5 linked regions of the Canis lupus familiaris genome follow. The protein of the gene in region 1 binds, or shares a complex with, the protein of each later gene. Links are inferred from orthologs where the notes say so. Each region holds a gene or a part of one and is shown in the gene's direction. Other genes may lie near its edges.

Region 1 (3,513 bases):
GTGGTCTTTCCTGGGGCCCTCACCCAGGGTGAGTGGGATCCCCCCTTACCACTAACTGTGCCTTGAGGGGGGCCCGGGGCTGGGGGCTTGGGGAGCAGCCAAGGGGCACCAGGCAGGGTTGCTTAGCTATGACTTTCGAGGTCTGGTTTTAGAAAACTCAGAGGCTGTTACAGGAGATGTAGGAGGGGGAGATGGGGCCAGGGTGGAGATGGTGTAGGGAATCATGAGGTGTTGGGAAGGAGTGTCACAGGGCTCAGTCCTGGGATGTCCTCAGGGCTACCAGAATCTGTTCAGGAACCAGAAGGGTCTGTCAGAGATGGGGAGTGGACGGGGTGGGGTCCCTATCCTAGTGTGCCAGCTCTGGAAACTTCCTGGAGGAGGGATTTAATCAGGCAGATGGCCCTGAGCCACGAGGTCTTCTGGGAATGGAGGAGGGGCTCTGTCTCTGGGCAGAGGGTCTGGGATCTTATCCTCTGAGGATCGTTCTGGGCGTGGATTAGGGCTACCCTGTGGGGCACCCCCTGGCCCCGTACCCTCCGCCCCAGGCAGATATCCTCCTGCAGCCACCTGTTCATCCCCTCTGTGTTCTGATGGCCAGTTGGTCAGTCAGTGACCTTGTGCTCAGCTGGCCTTCCCAATTTGGGGGACTGCCCTGCCAAGGGAACGGGTGACTTGGGGGAGGTGGCAGGAGGGAGATGGCCCCTCCCGATTGCATCAGCCCGAGCTTCTTACATAACTGGTGCTGGGCATTGCTGGGGTACAGGGGTGGCTCTGCCCAGGCAGTCTCCCTGTGGCTCTAGGGGAGGTAGGGGCAGGTGTGGGGGTGAGCAGGTGTGGACAGACAGCTCTGTCACTACCTCCAGACCCCAGGATGACTCTGGGGGGGTCTCTGTGCACATAATTCAACTGGTTCAAAAAATCCATGCCCCTCTGGTGCCAGGGCCAAGAGGGACAGGATGGGACAGGGTCAACTTGTGCAGCTCTGCCTCAGCCTGGCTCCGCTCAAGACCTGGCCCACATTAAACTCCGCTTTGGGCTGACCCGCCACTGCTTGGCCCTGTGTGCTATAGCCCTGGCCAAGCCCTGGCAGCTGTGTCCCCCTGTGCCAGCCAGGACCATGAAGTTGGCCCTCCGGGGACAGCCAGCACTCTGGCCACCTTCTCTGCAGCAGCTCCCAGTCCTGCAGGGAGTCTCTCTCCATACCTATGTTTGCCCAGGAGGATGGGGAGTGCTCTGGGGCTCCAGTGTGCCCTGCTGCCTTCCTCCATGGACTCCTGGTGGGGGAGGGCTCTATAATACGGTGACCCGGACCTGCTAGAGGGGGGCCTCAGGACTGAGGGGTGCCCAGACAGTGGTGCAACCTGCACCTGCCCCTGGTAGGGACCAGCCCTGTAAGGCACTAGGGTAGGAGGCCTTGCACTTGGCCACTGGAGTCACCAGCGCCCTCTAGCTGCACCCAGAGGGTGGCGATGGGAGCCATAGGACCTGGGGGACTCTAGGGGACAGGGGTCCAAGGCGGGGGGTGGGGGGGCCCTGTTTGGAGGACAGGTGTGTCCATGTATGTCAGGGGATGTCTGCACTGTGATGTGCAGCTCACATGATCATTGACCACGATATGTGGTGGTAGGCTTCCTGGGGAGGGTGATGGGAGCTTTGTTTCTTTTAACTTGATTCAGTGGGGACACTGCGCCCTTCCCCAGTGAAAGTCTCCTGGGCACCCTCCTCAGGGGCACAGGGTGGCACACCCAATCAGGCTGAGATTCCCTGTTGTGTGTCCCCTCAACCCCTGTGGGGGTGGATCCCCAGTTGGTTCTTCTCTGCTCCCCTGGGTGCAGGGGCATGGGGTAGGACAGCCTGACTGTGGGTGCTCAGGGCCCATGGCTGGCATGGAGCGCTGATCTCTGATGGGCCCCTTTTGTGGACCTGGGAGGTTTGGTGGCTTTCTTCTGGATGGATCTCTGCTCTGGAGGACCCTCCCCACTCTCCCCTTCTTCCTCATCTAACACCACCCCCACCCCCAGGAACTTAGGGCTGGCTGCCCTTTCTCATTTCTGATTTCCTGAGTGGGAGCTAGGCCCCAGGGCCACATGTCAAGCCCCCTCCTTTTTGGAGGGGGGAGTAACATGAAGCTTGAAGCCAGCTGCACACTCACACCTGTCCCGCTCCCCTCTTGGCCTTTTAAATTCATGGAGGAGGGAGGGGAGCTCGGAAATCGTGGCTGCTTTTGGAAAACCCACGTGTGGCGGATGCAGCATCTCTCTGAATTTCACATCTTCCAGGGTGCCCAGCCGGAATGGGTTTGGCATCCTGCATGTGTGACTGGGGGTGCGTGTACTGTGTGGGTGTGTGTGCGGGTTTGGGCGGGAGAGGCAATGTGGTCTCTGATCCTCATTAAGGGGGAACCTGGCATCCTCTTCCTTGATCTCCCTCCAAAGCCCTCAAGGACCTTGCTTGTGGCTCTAGGTGGTCCTGGGGTGATGTGACCCGTGCATCCCCATTAGCCTTGCATTCACAGGCCATTTCCCAGCCACACCATGGGCAGAGGGCAGAAATAGGCCCTGACCCCTCCCTGGAGCCACCCAGAGATGGCTTCATGACTCTGTGGGGCTGCTTCCATCCTGGGGGAGTCATGCCAATGAGGATTCTTAATTAGCTGCTCATTTTTGCTCAGAACATTGTTGCTGAGCTCTATCTTGTCAGGGTGGGTGGTTATTGTCCATTTTACAGTGAAGAGAGGAAAGGTCTAGAGAAGTGGGGACTTGTGACACAGCCCGCCTGATATGGGACTCTACTCATTGGGTCTGGTCTGGTGGCTCTGAGGGCTTGGTAGGAGGCTGGGGCAGGCAGAGGCACTGTCCGCTGGGAAGGGGTGGCGACCGAGGTGGCAGGTGGATGCCTGTGGAGCTGGCTGACCCTCTGGGCCCTGCCTCTGCCTTTGTGTCTCTGGGGGCTCCCCGAGGGGAGCGCAGAGTAATCCCCTCCCACTCTGACTCCTCCAGAAGAAGAAGATGGTGGCCTTGGAGGCTTTGATGACTATTTCCCTGAGGAGCCTGTGGGCCTTCCCAAGAAGAAGAAATCCAAGAAGCTCAAGGAGAACAGGTCCAAAGGGAAGCGGAAGAAGAAAGAGGTGCGTGGGGTGCCCTGCTGGGGTCGGGCCAGCTGGCGGGTGGGTCCGGGCTCCAAGGGGTCTCGGCTACTCTGTCGAGGCCTGTGGAGAAAGATCTCAGCTGGGTTTGAGTGCGAGATGCCAAAAGCAGCGTGTCCTTTGTGGGTTGGATCTGAAATGCCCTGACCTCTTAAGCAGGATGCTCCAAGGTCATTTATCTTTATGCCACAGAACGTAGATCGTTTGGGACTGACAGGATCCTGGGATGCAGGGACAGACCTCCTGGTTGAGGCATTGACATGTCCCCAACCCCCAAGACCTGAGGCTCTGTGGATGTTGTGGGCAGAGAAGGGGTGGTGCTCGTGCCATGCCGAGGGCAGGAGCTTTGCCCCCGCCCCCCCTTCTGG
Region 2 (3,513 bases), on another chromosome or scaffold:
CCCGCCGCAGGCCAGCACCTCGGACCCTCACCGTATGGGGCCGGAGCCAGGACGCCCAGGCGGCGGGAAGGGTTTCTGAGTCTAAAACCAAAAACACGAGTTGTCAGGGGCTCGGGGCCGTGGAGCCAGCCTTTTCATCCCACACACAGGAGCAGGGACCGCATGCGTTTGTAGGACACGACCCACCGATGCCGCCCCCGGTTGTGACAGCCGAAAATGTCTCCAGACAGCGCGTGTGTCCCTGGGGAGCTGCATGGCCCGGGCGGAGCCTGCATTCGGGATGCGGGGACGCGGGCCTTGGGGGGCCAGGTGGGGCCTGCAGGGGCTGGAGGCCTGAGGGGCGGCCTCGTTGTCAGCCACAGCCCCTCCCACCGCGCGGAGCCTGGCCTGCGGCCGGGAACGGCGTGCAGAAGCGAGCGGCGTGGCTTTGAGGAGAGCCGGTGGTGCGGTCCCGCGATGGCTTGACATGGGGTCGGGAGCTGGAGCAGCCGCCGGGAGGGGCCAAGCCCACAGTCCATCCCGCAGGGCGGACGGAGATGCCAGGCGTTTGGAGGAGGCGCTGGAAGTGTGGTCGCCCGCCTCCGGGGGGCGCTCCGCTCGTGACCTGGACCTGCAGCCGTGGGAGAACAGCCCAACCCGCTCAACACAGATTCTAAGAGCTCCGTGCGGGGCTGGGGTCAGGAGGGCCGGGTGTGCCCCCAGGACGGGCGAGAAACGCAGGGCGGCTGCTGCGCTGCAGCCCGGGGCATCGAGCCCGGAACATTCTGTGGCCCCGCGTGGGCATCTCCCGTGACAGCCGCTCCGAGCCGCGCTGGAGCGTTTTTGTCGCTGTCGAGCGCCCCCCCCACCCCCCACGGTCGGGCTGGCCGGGGCCCGGGTCCCTGCGGCGGTTCAGTGAGGCCGCGGGCGCCCTGCTGACGCCGTCCTGTGTGCTGTCTTTCAGGATTTCTTCTTCTATTCTTTAGTCTACGACCCCCAGCAGAAGACCCTGCTGGCCGATAAGGGGGAGATCCGCGTGGGAAACCGCTACCAGGCGGACATCACTGACCTGCTGAAGGAAGGTAGGCGCCCCCCGCGGCCTTCGGGCGCCCTGCTGAGCTTTTTCTCCAAAGAAACTTGTTGAATGAGTCTCTGCCCGTGCTGCCAACTTCCGCCGCCGGGCGGTGCTGCCGGTGACTCTGCGCAGCCCGCCGTGGCCGTGGTCGTGGTCGTGGTCGGAGGAGCCGTGCGTCCTGCCTCCAGCTGGGAGCCACCTGCTGGGGCTGGGGCTGGGTCCCAGGAGCTGGAGCCTGTACGTGGCTCAGTGCGCCCGGGCGTGGCGCGTGCAGGCGCCGCCCCTGCCGCCCCGCTGCTGAGACCACCCTCGTCACCCCGACATAGGCCCGCTGGCCCTGGTGATCTTGAGGTCTTTGCTCGTTGAGCTGCTCCCGTGGAGCCTGCCCGGCCGCCAGCCCAGCCCAGGGCCCCGGGCTCCGGCCTCCCTCCCGATGTCTGTGGTCCTGGCTTTAATCCGAGGACAGTTCCTGAGCACCCAGGTTCCCTTTTCTGTGGCCTCTGCATCTCCCTGGACGTGATGCTCCATCCCCCTGAGGCCGGTCTGGTGTTGGCTTGTGTGCCGCCCCCCCGCCCTGTCCGCGCCCGCGTGACCACCACATGCACAGGCACGTGTGCGCCGTCACGCTAATGGGCTCACGTGCTGGCTTGTTGGCTCTCTGTGGTCCCGCCGGTGGGAGATGAGGACGGGGCAGGAGCCACGCCGGAGGCACGCAGGTTCCCTCTGTCCCGTGTGTGGCGAGGCTGCCCTCCTGGCCCGCTGGCCCTCTGCCCTGCGTCCCCCTTCTGGCTCTTCTCCCGTGGGGTCCCCGAGCGCACCTGCTCCTCCTGCCTGCTCACGCCGGCTCCCCTGGCGGCCTCTGAGGAGCAAGCAAGGCCCATCCCCTTGCTGTGGGCGTGGTTGGTGCCGGGGACCAGGCGTCCTTCGGGGCTCGGCTGGCCCATCCGACAGTGGCAGGTCCGCGGCGGGTGCCAGGCTGCCTTCCCTGCGTGGCTGAGGGTGACAGGTCTGGTGACGGCCAGAGGAGGACCCAGAGTGGCCCGAACGTCAGAGGGCCTCGGTTTCCCGGGCAGTGACCTGGTGCCAGGGAGAGGGCTCCTCGGCTCCTCCGAGCGGCCGCCTCAGACCCTTGAGCTGCGGCCCCAAGGAGGCTGTGAGGGCTGCCTCGGGGTGTGGGGCCCGGGCCTGGTCGAGCGAACCTGCAGCAGGGCGGGCACAGGGTGGCCCCTGGAGCCCGGGACCCTCCCAGGGAACGGACTGTGCCCCACCACTCATACGCTGGAGACTGAAGTGGGTGCAGCGTGGGGGCCTGCAGGGTCCCTTGGGCTGGCGGGACAGACGTGCTGGCGGTGGCTGGTGCTGGCCATGGCCCTCAGACTCCAGAGGCCGGGAGGGGTTGGACACCTGGCGAGGGGCCTCAGGGCAGAGGCCCCCCAGGAGGGACACCGGCTACGACCAGGAACGTCCCACCCGCAGTCAGCCTGTGCCGCAGGCTCCAGGGGCGACCGGGAGGGATAACCGTCGCGCCCCTGCGGTGTGGGGCCCTCCTGCCGTGACCCCAGGTGGGCCCGCGAGGCTCGACCTTCCCCGAGGCGAGGGAGCACACGCGTCTCTGGTGACCGGCCCCGCTCAAGCCACCTGCTTGCACAGGCTCCCTGGCCGGCCTGCTGGGCACTGACCAGTGGGACACGCCGTGTGGGTCCCCGCCCTTGGCCTGGAGCGTGCTGTCGCCGCAGCACAGGAGCTGAGTGGATCTCCTGCGGGTGTGCAGCCTGCGGGCCTGGGCTGCCTGAGGACGTGCCCTTGGCGCGGGGGGCTGGCCAGCGTGGCCGTGGGCGTCCTGCACACGCTGGCTGGCTGCCCTGGGCGCGGGCTCTCCCCAGGTGTCCCCTGACCGGCCGCCCTGTCCTCTGGGAGCAAGTTTGCTTCATCAGAAGCTGTCGTGCCTGCCGGATTGTGGGGCTCTGCCCCCAGCTGTGCAGGACACAGCCCCCCAAACGAGCCCCGACTCTGGCGTCTGCAGGCTGAAGAGCGGCCGGGGGTGGTGGCCCTCCTGGAAGAGGATAAACTGAACTGTGGTCTCTTTGGCACTGCGAGGGGTCCCGGCGGGCAGATGCCCACGCCGGATGCAGCCATTGTCCCGTGTCCTGGTCGCAGAGCGCACTGCTGCTGCCGGGCTGCCGGGCTGCCTCTGCCTCAGGAGCCTGATCCAAGCCAGAGCCAGCCTCTGGCACCCCCGTTGTCACACCTGGCCGCCCGGGGCCCACGGCAGGCCAAGCCGTCCCGGGGCTCCCCCGGCCCCTGAGCCTATCATCAGACTCCGCCAGCCCCCAGCAGGCAGGCCGGGGCGGCGGGGGGAAGAGGGGGCTGCTGTGTTTGCAGAGGTGAAAATCCGCTGCGAGCCGAGTATGCCTGGAACTGTGCGTGCACGCCTGCTGCCGCCTCACCTGGGCTCACCG
Region 3 (4,199 bases), on another chromosome or scaffold:
CTCCTCCACATGCTTACCTGTCACTACTTATTCCAACAATAAGAAATCATCCATCCTGACTTAACTGTCAATTCTAGTGTACATGTGCTGTGGCTTCACAATTGTTAACCCATACTGCCACAGAAAACCGCTTCATCAACTAAAGTTGATGCTTACCCGCAGCTCCTTTACATTCACTTACAGACTCCGCCCATTTCCAGATTAGCACCTTACTCCCCCACCCCTTTAGTGAGGCTGTCTCAATCCTACCATACAAAATAACTTCACTGCCTTAAAAAAAAAAAAAAAAAAAAAAAAAAATCCCCGATGTCACTCATTTAACTCTACCCCTCACCACCCCCGGCACCCAGTAATCTGTTTACCTCATGTATGAGTTTGTCTTTTCCAGAATGTCATACAATTGGAACCATACAGCGCATAGCTTTTTCAGACTGGCTTCTTTCGCTTAGAAATATGCCTACCTGTGTCTTTTCAGAGCTAGATAGATGATTTCCTTTTATTGCTGAATAAATAGTCCCTTATACGGATATATCACAGTTTGTTCATTCGCCAATTGAAAGCTGCCTCCTCTGCAAAGACTCCTGTGATGTCACCAAGCAGGCTCCTTCCTCTTAGTTCCAATGCATCCTGTATACCAGTCTCCACATTGTCTTATTGTGCTGTGTGCCTTTGCTTTCCTGTCTGTCTCTCCTTGAGACCAGGAGCTCCTTGAGGAGAGAAGCCACGGCCAGTTCATTTCCATATCATCAGTGTCCCGCACAAGGATGGAGGATGGAGTCAGAAAATGCCTGTTGGATGAATGGACGAATGAATGAAATGTCACGGAGAGGAGGAAAATCTACAGACCTGGGGCATGAAGAATACACAAGGCCAGAATAGTTTTGAGGCGAAGTAGCCCAAGAGAAAGGGTTAGTGTTCGGAGGAAAGTCTAAGATCTAGGGTGGTGAGGAATGAAATTTGAGGGGAGGGGTCTGGATGCAGAAATGGAAAGAAAAGAGGACAATGAAACAAGCTCCTTATGAATATTCATTTATCCACACAACCCTGTAAGACAGTTATTACTAACGTCCGCATCTTTACGATGGGGAAACCCAAACATACTAGGGTAACTTGCCCAAGGGGAAATCGCTGGTGCGGTGGGGTGAGATTCGAACCATCAGCCTCGCTCCACTTGGTGCTCTCACCCAAGATCGGTTTGGTACAGGGCCCGGCGAGCGGCGAGAATTCAACGAAGGCGAGATGATCCTGCTGTTGCCAGTAGGAGGCCCAGGCTCGGAGTCTTGGAGGACTGGCTGAGGGGTCTTTGAGGCCGCCCTCGGACCTAACACGAGCTTAGACCAAAGGACGAGGCAAACCCGAGAGGCGCGGAGGCAGCGTCGATGAGGGACCCGTTGCCATAGGAACAAACGGAAGCTTTAGGAGGGCGCATGCGCAGGCCGGGGAAAGGGTGTGGAGCCGGCGAAAGGTGACGTAAAAGCGCACGGGGTGAGACGCAGGGCTCCGCACGTCAAAGCCCTGCGTCCTCCGGCATTCAGTGCAGTGGAAAGGCGCGCGCGGTGCTGGCGCCGGCAGTGATAGCAGCCCCAACTGGACCGAGAGCAGGCGGTGCGGAGCTGACGTGCAGAGCAGCGCCAGTGAAGCGTGAAGGCGGCGCCCGCGCCGGGAAGACCCCTCCGCGCAAAACGCGGCCGACCGGACCCGGGTCCCGGCTTCCAAGGCCCCGCCTCTCGGGCCTTGGGACTAATCGGATTGAGAGCGCGCCGGCCCGGACCCCGAACTCGCCAATTGCGTAGGGCGTCAGCTACCGCCCAATCCGGAGCAGACAGGTGCGAGGTCCGAAAGGCGGAGACCAATCAGCAGCGGTTGCGGCCTGTTGGGGCCGATCTCTGCCAATGAGGAGGCCCGAGTGACATCCGCGCACACCAATCGGGAGTGAGAGAGCGTTCGTGCCCGCCCGCCCTTCCGGCCTGAGCTCTATTTACCAGGGGCGTGCGGCCGGTTTACCAATCAGAGCGCGGCTGAGCGGCCGAGCAGCCAACCCCGGAGGAGCGGCCGGCCGGCGTCCGCCGCACCCGAGAGTTGGGGATGTCCTACAAACCCATCGCCCCCGCCCCCAGCAGCACCCCCGGCTCCAGCACCCCTGGGCCCGGCACCCCGGTCCCCACAGGTGAGGATCCGACTCTACCCCTGCTCGCCTGCCCGGGTGGTCGAGGTCTCGAGAACACGGCCCGAGTTCTGCAACACTGGGCCTGCTGCCTCCCCTCTCTGAGCCTCAGTTTGCTGGCCTGTGAAGTGGGCGTGGTCACGTAAGGGCTAGTTGGTGGAGCGCAGGGGGAGGGGTTTGTCGCTGAAGTTGAGCGCCTGGAGCGAAGTATCCCTTTGGAGGGAAGCGGGCGAATCCGGTCGGGGGCTTGGAACGCTGGGAGGCCGGGTCCCGGCCCCGCGCTGACCTATTACTCGCGCATGTTGCAGCCGGAAGTGTCCCATCGCCGTCGGGCTCAGTGCCGGGAGCCGCTGCCCCTTTCAGGCCCCTGTTTAACGACTTTGGACCGCCCTCCATGGGCTATGTACAGGTGAGTGGGGTGAGGGATTGCCTACGGACGGGGACTGGAGGTCCCCGCGGGCCCTGAGCTCATGGCCCTGTCCTCTTTTGACATAGGCAATGAAGCCACCTGGCGCCCAGGGCTCCCAGAGCACCTACACGGACCTGCTGTCGGTCATAGAGGAGATGGGTAAAGAGATCCGGCCCACCTATGCTGGCAGCAAGAGCGCCATGGAGCGCCTGAAGAGAGGTAAGTGAGGCTTCCACCCTCCCTGCTCAGGAGACTAACACTGGACAATCCTTCCTTAGCAAAGGAAGGACATCTGGAGGCCGCGTGACCCAAGCCTAAACAAGGGTGGGTGTCACTTTCCAGGGAGGTGTTTTGAATTGAATTGAAATTGAGTCCGTTTGGGGGGAAGGACCAGGGCATTTGTCTTTCAAAAGGACAAATTTGAGGATTAGCCAAATCGTTAATCTCATCAGGCCCTTTATCATCCTCCTCCCTTTCACTGGAAGGAAAGGGGGTGGGGAAGGAGGGTCTTCCTCTGGAGGATGAGGGTGGGACCCTGCAGGGTCGCTGCATGTTACTTGCCCATTCCCACCTCAGGCATCATCCATGCCCGGGCCCTAGTCAGAGAGTGCCTGGCAGAGACAGAGCGGAACGCCCGCACGTAACAGGACGCAATTCCACCGCCGAGTCTGGACCTTTCCTGGCCACTGCAGAGCACCTGCTTCTCCCTGGCCTTCACCCCGAGTTGCACTTCCCAACCTGGGCTTCCTGTCCTGTGTCCCCTGGTGGGTGCCCTCCAGGAACCAGGGGGCGGCTCTCACTCCAGCCGACAACACTTGACTGGGACTCTTTCAAGAGTTAGCAGCGAGGTCACTGTGAGTCCCGCCCATGACCTGCCAACAGTGTTGATCCAACTGGAGCTTGCTCCTTTCTGTGGCCCCCACCACTCAGCACTTACCCAGGACTTGTCACCACCTTTCCTAGACTCCTCCCCTAGCAAGGCCTCCCTAGGCCTGTCACCTCCCTGCCTTGTCTCCTGGGCCATAGCGACTCTTTTTTCAGTCAGTGTCTTTTGCTAAATATGCCCTTTTTGTATAAATAAAAGATAATTTGGAGTTGTTCTCTCACCTCTTAATCTTTCTGAGTGTGGTGCTTCTGCTGAGCCAGGAAGAAATTGGAAAAGAGGAGATCGAGGAGGGGAGAGGGGCAATGCAGTGGTGGGAGACAGGGCCACTGAACCTGGCCTGGCCTGGCTCCTACTGTCCATTGACTTGGCTGGGACCCTGCCCTCCTCCAGCCCTGGGCCTTCACAGTTCTGAGTCTTGAAAAGGCTTAAGCTCCAGTAGCTGTGAGCCCTACCCTCCTACACGTGGTGCCACCAGGGGGCAGCCTGGAGCTTTAGCCGCCTCCACAGCTGGAGGGCACTGTCGCCAGCCCGGGCCTAGAGGGTTCTTTCTCTGGATTGGCAGTCAGTGCCTGGCAGGGTGGAAATGTCAGTTCATATAAGCCAGGCCCTCACGTGTCTTAATTTTCTAAAATCTTAACCTCCCAGTCAACCCTGGAAGGTTCTGAACACGTCCTGACTTCTCAGAGGAGAGGGGGCACTGCTGCTGCTTTTCTCCAGCACCTGAGAAGCAGAGCCAAGGG
Region 4 (4,071 bases), on another chromosome or scaffold:
CTGGAAGTAGTTTGGAATGGATTGGCTTTTTATTTTTTCAATTTAAAACAAATTTTTATCAAGGTTTATTTGAGAGAGCACTTGGAGGAGAGGCAGAGCGACAGGGAGAGAGAATCCCAAGCAGACTCCTCACTGAGCATGGGGGGGGGTGTGTGTGTGTGCCTGGACACCGCCTCCAGATAATGACCTGAGCCAAAATCAAGAGTCAGGTGCTGCTGGCTTTTTAAAAAGTTGTTTGCATTCATTTGGGGGATTGCCAGCTAAGATTCAATTCAATTTGTTTTTTTGCTTGTTTCTGTGAGGGAATGGAGGCTGAGAATGCTGGGATTGCCTAGAGAATTGGCATGGGAAAATAATGATTCAAAAGCATTAGGCACATAACTAGTTAAAAGTCCATCAACAGTAAGGGGACTGAAACCATCTCCCCCTTTGTGGAGAGGGGGTGGGAATGGCGAATAAGTAGGGTCCCTTTCCTAAGGGCCTCTTTTCCTGGCAGGGCGGCACTGGATATAGGGTCTGTCTAGAGGCCAGGCCTCCGCTGGGAGTGGGTTCTGTTCAGCCCACGCGTGGGGTGAACTTGATAGACCTGTCAATGCAGTTGGGGTGACTTGGGAGGGGGTCAGTGTTTTTGGACTTCTCTCCAGCTAGCACGCTCCCTGGGGAAGCTGGTAGCACCAGGGTCCTCCTGGCCCCAAGGTATGCGGGTTCCATCACCACCATGAGGCAGGCGCTCTGCTGGGCGCACTTATTTGTTTCCAAGTGTTTGCCCTGAGGCAGGCGCCCACGTGCTCAAGGTCTTGCATACAAGGGCTCCCCAGGGACGCAGCAAGGAGGAAGACCTGTCTGCGGGTGGCCAGGTGACAGGGTACGGTGGCTGGGGCTGTGTGGGCTCGGGAGAGCCTGAGCCCCTGCCCCCACCCCAATTCTCCCACCGCTCCAGGTCCGCATTTGCCACTGCAGGCCTCCGCTTCGGCCACGACCCTTGCCCTGGGGTCGCCCACCTCCGGCGAGGGCCCCCAAGCCGCCGCCTCCCCAGGTCCCCGCGGGCCCCGCAGCGACCTCCCCCGGCCCGGCCCGGCCCGGCCCGCTCGGCCCGGCTGGCCCGTCGCTGGGGGCGGGAACCTGCCCCCACCCCGCGGCGTCCCCTCCCCTTCGCTTCCCCCTCCCCTCCCCTCGGTGCCTCCCTCCCCTCCCCCCCGCGGCGAGGCGGCGGCGGCGGCGGCGGCGGCGGCGGCGGCCGAGGCTGAGGCGGCCGAGGCTGAGGCGGCGGCGGCGCGGCGCGGCGGGCGGGGCTCGGCTCGGGCTCCGCGGGCGGGCGGGCGGACATGGCGGCCAACATGTACCGGGTCGGAGGTAGGAAGGCTCGGCCCGACCCGGCCCGTCTGGGAGCGGGCTCCGGGAGTGGGGGGTCGGGGCGAGTTCACCCTAACCGCCGGGGGCCGCGGGCGCGGGGGGCAGGGGCGCCGGGGCCCGCAGGAGGGGCCGGGGCTCCCCACCCGCGCCACCCGCGCCACCCGCCCCTCCCCCGGCCGTGGCCCGCCGGGGGCCGGCGCCCACCTTCCCCCTCGCTCGCACCCCCGCTCAGTTTTCTAGGGCCGGCCGGGCCTGTACTTGGGGGTGTGAATTCTCAGCTGCCCCCCTCCGAGACGCCCCCATTGGGTGTCGGCCGTCGAGCCCCCAGTGGGGTGCTCTTTCCCTGCGTGGCTTCCAGGCAGTGGGGGGGTTGGAGAGGATGGGGGGACGCCCCCCCGCTCTACTCCTTCACCCCTTCAGTTGGGAGCGGGGGGTGGGGGCGATGGGGGCTCAGCCAGGCACAGCTGGACAGGCCTGTTGGCGGGGATAGGGCCCTTCACCTCTCCTTCCTCACTCCCCCCTCCCGTTTCTTGCCCAGCCCCCCCAAGATGGGGCGTAGTGGGGCCAGGGCACCGCGGCCAGAGGTGGGGAGTTGAGCTCTGCCCGGACGTTTGCTCTGGTGACTGCCTTCTCAGCCCTCTGCAGAAAAGAGAAATAAGGTCAAACAAACTTTCTCCCTACTCACGACGCCCTCCTCCCTCTTTCTTGGTAGAATAATAATTCAGATAAGTGGCGTGTTTGTGTGTGAGACTTGGTCTTCTCTGCTCATTAGCTGAGCTCCTGATGGATGGTAGTGGGAATGGCCTGGCCAAATGAGGCCACTTTGCAGAAGAGAGACGACGGAAAGAGCCACTAAGATAGACAATAACAATGCAGCCCAGCCTTTCAAATAAACACACAGTGGGAAGTTTCCAGTGAGCCTATTACAGGAGAGGAAAAGCCACACTTGAAAATTTTTATCTTTTTTATTGAAAGCCTGCGGTGATTTTTTTTTTTATAACAAGACCCCAAATGGATCTGTATTAAATATGGTAAAGAGCATAACAAAATCCTGATAACCATCTCCAGAGAGCTCTGTCTCTCAGAAAGGGAATCCCCTTTCATGCCCCCCCCCCCCCCCCCAATCATCCCAGATAGAGCTGTGGAAGTTTGTCAGTGTGCTTCCTCTTACCTATTCTGCTCACCTGATTTTTTTTTTTTTTTAAGTTGGTGATTGAAATGTACTTTGGGCTGCTAAGCTTTTCAAGATGCTCTGAATTTGTCTTAGGTCAATAGTTTTATGTGAGAAGCATACTCCAGGGTAAATTGGATTGGAGGGGAAAGATGTGGAAGCAGTTATAGCATGAAAGACACATGTTTAGTCAGCCCTGACTACTCGGTGATGAGGAGTCTTTTTGTTTATTATTAAAGAAGTGATGTGTGGCATGAAAGGCTCAGAGAGCTTGATAAAACATTAATTGTTAAATGAAAATTTCAGGAAAATAAGGGTCTGTGAATAGTAGGCATGAGAAAATATATTAAGGTTGTATTGCTAAATTTGCTTTTAACCGGGAATGAATTATGTGCTTCATTTTGAATGTGCATTGCCTAATATAGAAAGTCATAGATTGACAAATGTGAACTTTCTGTTGAAAAGATTAAGGTCTTTACTTCCTTTAATTACAGATTATGTCTACTTTGAGAATTCCTCCAGTAACCCGTACCTAATCAGAAGGATAGAAGAACTCAACAAGGTATAAACGCTAAGTGTTCTTGATTCTAATATTAAAAAAAAATTGTTTTCCATTGACGAGTAATTAGGTAAAGGGCATAAGAGGTGATTTTACTTTCAGTCCTGGACTCTTTGAAACTAGAGATTGAAGATTAGAGAGTTATGCAGGATTCTGAATATTCTTTTGCTTTTATAATTACCTATGATATTAAATGTTACTGAATATTTAACATCTGCAGATTTCTGGGATGCCTGGGCTCAGTGGTTGAGCATCTGCCTTTGGCTCGGGGCGTGATCCCAGAGTCCCAGGATCAAGTCCCACATCGTGCTTCCTGCATGGAGCCTGCTTCTCCCTCTGCCTACATCTCTGCCTGTCTGTGTGTCTCTCATGAATAAATAAATAAAATCTTAAAAAAAAAAATCTGCAGATTTCTTCACGTTGCTCAGATCTTCTCGGAGCAGGTCACTCTTGTAACTGTCCCTTTTTATATTTAGAGTCATAATTGTATTTCTTTCAGGGAATTATTTTTTCCTCTTTCAGCTTTAGAAAGAGGAAGCTAGGAAATGTAGTATTGAAGCGAATTTGTAAAATTTTGGACTAGGTCAACTAATAAGAATACAGTTTTGTTATAATGTAAAGTAGCTTCCTACTTTAGGCCTGACAGCAGAAGCTTTGTGACTGTTTGCAATAGGTGAGCTTATTATAATGGTAGCATATGAAAAGCCATAAACTATATGAACCATGGATTACTAATGGTGCTCTGGTTTCCTCCAAACCAACTTTGAAGATTATTTGTTTTACTTATGAGAGTTCATAGTGTTAAAATGTCGGAAGCTGTCTTGCTAATACCTTTCCTCCAAAGTACCTTCTAGAGACTGGGGAAGTTCTGAGTCCCAGGATGTAAGATTTGGTTTAGGGCATTTCTGGTTTATGAACCCTGAGATCTTGGTTTGCTTCTGGAGACATCCCCATGGACCTTACATCTATAAAAATTCTGTTGTAGTTG
Region 5 (2,921 bases), on another chromosome or scaffold:
GCTTCTTTCTGAATTAGTTTCTGACTTGGCTTCTTCCTCCTTCATCTCCCAGGGGAGTTTGAGGAGGAATCAAAGCAGCCAGGGGTGTCAGAGCAGCAGCGACATCAGCTGAAGCACCGGGAGCTTTTTCTTTCTCGGCAATTTGAATCCTTACCAGCCACCCACATACGGTATAGGACAATCAAGGCCACTGTGGCCTGTAGGCACTTCCGTAGAAGCTGGCAAGGGAGGGGGTGGTGTATTGGAGATGCTGTGGAGAGGCAGTGAGGAGCTCACCCGGGGTTTTCTGACTTCTCTTCTGTAGGGGGAAATGCAGTGTGACGCTCCTGAATGAGACTGACATCTTGAGCCAATACTTGGAAAAGGAGGTGAGAAAGAGGTGCTGGGAGAAGAAGGAGGGGGGTGGGTATGTCCCAAGGGGCTAGAGGAAAGTAGAACCATGATGAGGCACAGGTCAACTGGCTGACCGCCTGTCTTGGGAACTCTGGATCCTCCTCACCACCCCCAGCCTCTGAGGACTGCTGCCTGCTTACCCTTTCTTCCCATCTCCAGGACTGCTTTTTTTACTCACTGGTGTTTGACCCTGTGCAGAAGACACTTCTAGCTGATCAGGGAGAGATCAGAGTTGGTTGCAAATACCAAGCTGAGATACCAGATCGCTTGGCAGAGGGTAAGCGACAGACCAGACCAGTATGGCTACTGGGTTATCTAACATGGTAGTGTCTATGAATAGTATGCCGTGGAGTTTTACACTGTATAGTCTTCATGGCTCTCTGCTGTCACCCTGATAGGACAGGACCCTGGGAACCTGAGGCGGGCAGATGGGCACAGTTGGGAAGAGAAGTCTGAAAGTTGAGGTGGTGATAAAAATCCAAGCAGGATTTTATAAAATTTTATAAAATCCAAGGAGGAGCGAAGTGCTATTGTGAGTATCAAAATACTTACTATCCTCCTTTACCTTTCTCTGATGTTGCCGTCTCCCTGTTTCCAAGGAGAATCTGATAATCGGAACCAACAGAAGATGGAGATGAAGGTCTGGGACCCAGACAACCCTCTCACAGACCGGCAGATTGATCAGTTTCTCGTGGTGGCCCGGTGAGGGGTGGGTGGATGGGAAAGATGGGCTGGGGGTGGTGTGGACATCTTGCATCGAATTTGCAGAGGTGGACTTGATTGTTTTGGGGGGGAAGTGGGTTTTTTTTGGCAGGGGTGGCATGGGTGTTTTCCTTATTTGGCTTAGTTCCTCAGCCCAATCATGCCTTCTTTTCCTCTTGGCTTCTCCATCTCTCCCTCAGAGCTGTGGGCACCTTTGCAAGAGCCCTAGATTGTAGCAGTTCCATTCGGCAGCCAAGCCTGCACATGAGTGCAGCTGCAGCTTCCCGAGATATCACCTTGGTGAGCAGATGTGGCTGGGCAGTTGGGCAGGCTGGGCTCTGTGGGGGACCTGCAGAGCCTGGGGACAAGAGAGGAGGGGTCTCTGAGGCTGTGGTGTTGGAGGGGCTCAGGCCATCAGCATTGTTTCCTATCTTCCTTGTAGTTCCATGCAATGGATACGTTGCAGAGGAACGGCTATGACTTGGCTAAAGCCATGTCGACCCTGGTACCCCAGGGGGGCCCGGTGCTGTGTCGGGATGAGATGGAGGAATGGTCTGCTTCAGAGGCTATGCTGTTTGAGGAGGCCCTGGAGAAGTATGGGAAGGATTTTAATGATATTCGCCAGGACTTTGTAAGTGGATGGGGCTGGGAGGAGAAGTGGAAGAGATTGTCGTCTCTGGTAAGGGAACCAGGACCTGGGACCAGATGCCAGCTCTGCTTTCTTCCCTCTGCCTCCTTAGCTGCCTTGGAAGTCACTTGCCAGCATAGTCCAGTTTTACTACATGTGGAAAACCACAGACCGCTATATTCAGCAGGTATGGGCTGGGCTGGGCAGGGCAGGGCAGGGCAGACTGGACCAGGGACCTCCTTCTCACCTCTGCCTTTGGGAGTTGATGACATCCTCCTGCAGAGATACTTTGATCTTTCTTTTTTTTTCCCCTTCCTGCAGAAAAGATTGAAAGCTGCTGAAGCAGACAGCAAACTAAAACAAGTCTATATCCCCACCTAGTAAGTGTGGTAGGTGGGGGAGGTTTGCATGTTTTCTTTTTCTCCCTCCATCTCCCCCAACTCATGCTTTGCTCAGTGACTGGCAGTGGGCAGGAGTCAGGATCAAAGAGTCAAATGTTGATAGAGATGAGATGGAAATGGATTCTCTACCTTGACCAGTTCCTGGTTTCTCCCCACACTGTTCCCATTAGTACTAAGCCAAATCCTAACCAGATCATCTCTGTGGGCTCGAAACCTGGCATGAATGGGGCTGGATTCCAGAAGGGCCTGACCTGTGAGAGCTGCCACAGTGAGTTCCATGGGAGGATTGGGATGTTGTGGGTGGGGGGGGGGGGGGGGGAGGTGAGGTCCTCTCTGGCCCAAGGACCTGAGGGACTCTCGTGTAGTATTTTTCCCACACTGCCCCCTTCTCTCCATGCTCCTACAGCCACACAGTCTGCCCAGTGGTATGCCTGGGGCCCACCCAACATGCAGTGCCGCCTCTGTGCTTCTTGTTGGATCTACTGGAAGAAATATGGGGGACTGAAGACCCCGACCCAGCTTGAGGGGGCTGCTCGGGGCACAACAGTAAGGAGTGGTGGGGAACAGGCAGGGCAGAGCAGTAAACATATCGATGTGAGCTTTAGGGGAAGGCCAGAGCACCCAACCCCTTCCATGGTGATGGTTTGATGTGGGTATGGGTGGGGAGGGGGTGCCCCGTGATGGTTGGAGACTGGTAGGTTGGGATGGTGATAAAGAGTTCAGGCAGGAGGGATGCCTGGGTGACTCAGTGGTTGAGCGTCTGCCTTTGGCTCAGGGTGTGATCCCGGGATCGAGTA

The links.
Region 2: CHD5 (region 1) and MTA1 share a complex: the UniProt entries of both Homo sapiens proteins name them as parts of the nucleosome remodeling and deacetylase (NuRD) repressor complex. The link is inferred for Canis lupus familiaris from reciprocal best matches to the Homo sapiens genes CHD5 and MTA1.
Region 3: CHD5 (region 1) and CDK2AP2 share a complex: the UniProt entries of both Homo sapiens proteins name them as parts of the nucleosome remodeling and deacetylase (NuRD) repressor complex. The link is inferred for Canis lupus familiaris from reciprocal best matches to the Homo sapiens genes CHD5 and CDK2AP2.
Region 4: CHD5 (region 1) and MTA3 share a complex: the UniProt entries of both Homo sapiens proteins name them as parts of the nucleosome remodeling and deacetylase (NuRD) repressor complex. The link is inferred for Canis lupus familiaris from reciprocal best matches to the Homo sapiens genes CHD5 and MTA3.
Region 5: CHD5 (region 1) and MTA2 share a complex: the UniProt entries of both Homo sapiens proteins name them as parts of the nucleosome remodeling and deacetylase (NuRD) repressor complex. The link is inferred for Canis lupus familiaris from reciprocal best matches to the Homo sapiens genes CHD5 and MTA2.

Annotation. Positions count from the first base shown.
Region 1 is NC_049226.1:60,557,552-60,561,064, reverse strand, and holds part of CHD5 (chromodomain-helicase-DNA-binding protein 5), read left to right. Parts: intron 1-2,999; coding exon 3,000-3,127; intron 3,128-3,513. UniProt on the Homo sapiens protein: ATP-dependent chromatin-remodeling factor that binds DNA through histones and regulates gene transcription. May specifically recognize and bind trimethylated 'Lys-27' (H3K27me3) and non-methylated 'Lys-4' of histone H3.
Region 2 is NC_049229.1:73,167,745-73,171,257, forward strand, and holds part of MTA1 (metastasis-associated protein MTA1), read left to right. Parts: intron 1-943; coding exon 944-1,061; intron 1,062-3,513. UniProt on the Homo sapiens protein: Transcriptional coregulator which can act as both a transcriptional corepressor and coactivator. Acts as a component of the histone deacetylase NuRD complex which participates in the remodeling of chromatin.
Region 3 is NC_049239.1:50,472,599-50,476,797, forward strand, and holds CDK2AP2 (cyclin-dependent kinase 2-associated protein 2), read left to right. Parts: upstream 1-1,489; 5' UTR 1,490-2,085; coding exon 2,086-2,167; intron 2,168-2,472; coding exon 2,473-2,573; intron 2,574-2,659; coding exon 2,660-2,792; intron 2,793-3,149; coding exon 3,150-3,217; 3' UTR 3,218-3,687; downstream 3,688-4,199. UniProt on the Homo sapiens protein: Acts as a component of the histone deacetylase NuRD complex which participates in the remodeling of chromatin.
Region 4 is NC_049238.1:34,301,611-34,305,681, forward strand, and holds the start of MTA3 (metastasis-associated protein MTA3), read left to right. Parts: upstream 1-1,265; 5' UTR 1,266-1,325; coding exon 1,326-1,353; intron 1,354-3,018; coding exon 3,019-3,086; intron 3,087-4,071. UniProt on the Homo sapiens protein: Acts as a component of the histone deacetylase NuRD complex which participates in the remodeling of chromatin.
Region 5 is NC_049239.1:54,560,150-54,563,070, forward strand, and holds part of MTA2 (metastasis-associated protein MTA2), read left to right. Parts: exon of another isoform or gene 1-52; coding exon 53-170; exon of another isoform or gene 171-304; coding exon 305-368; exon of another isoform or gene 369-552; coding exon 553-670; exon of another isoform or gene 671-992; coding exon 993-1,095; exon of another isoform or gene 1,096-1,295; coding exon 1,296-1,395; exon of another isoform or gene 1,396-1,453; intron 1,454-1,537; coding exon 1,538-1,726; intron 1,727-1,835; coding exon 1,836-1,910; intron 1,911-1,970; exon of another isoform or gene 1,971-2,044; coding exon 2,045-2,103; exon of another isoform or gene 2,104-2,278; intron 2,279-2,294; coding exon 2,295-2,392; intron 2,393-2,530; coding exon 2,531-2,670; intron 2,671-2,921. UniProt on the Homo sapiens protein: May function as a transcriptional coregulator. Acts as a component of the histone deacetylase NuRD complex which participates in the remodeling of chromatin.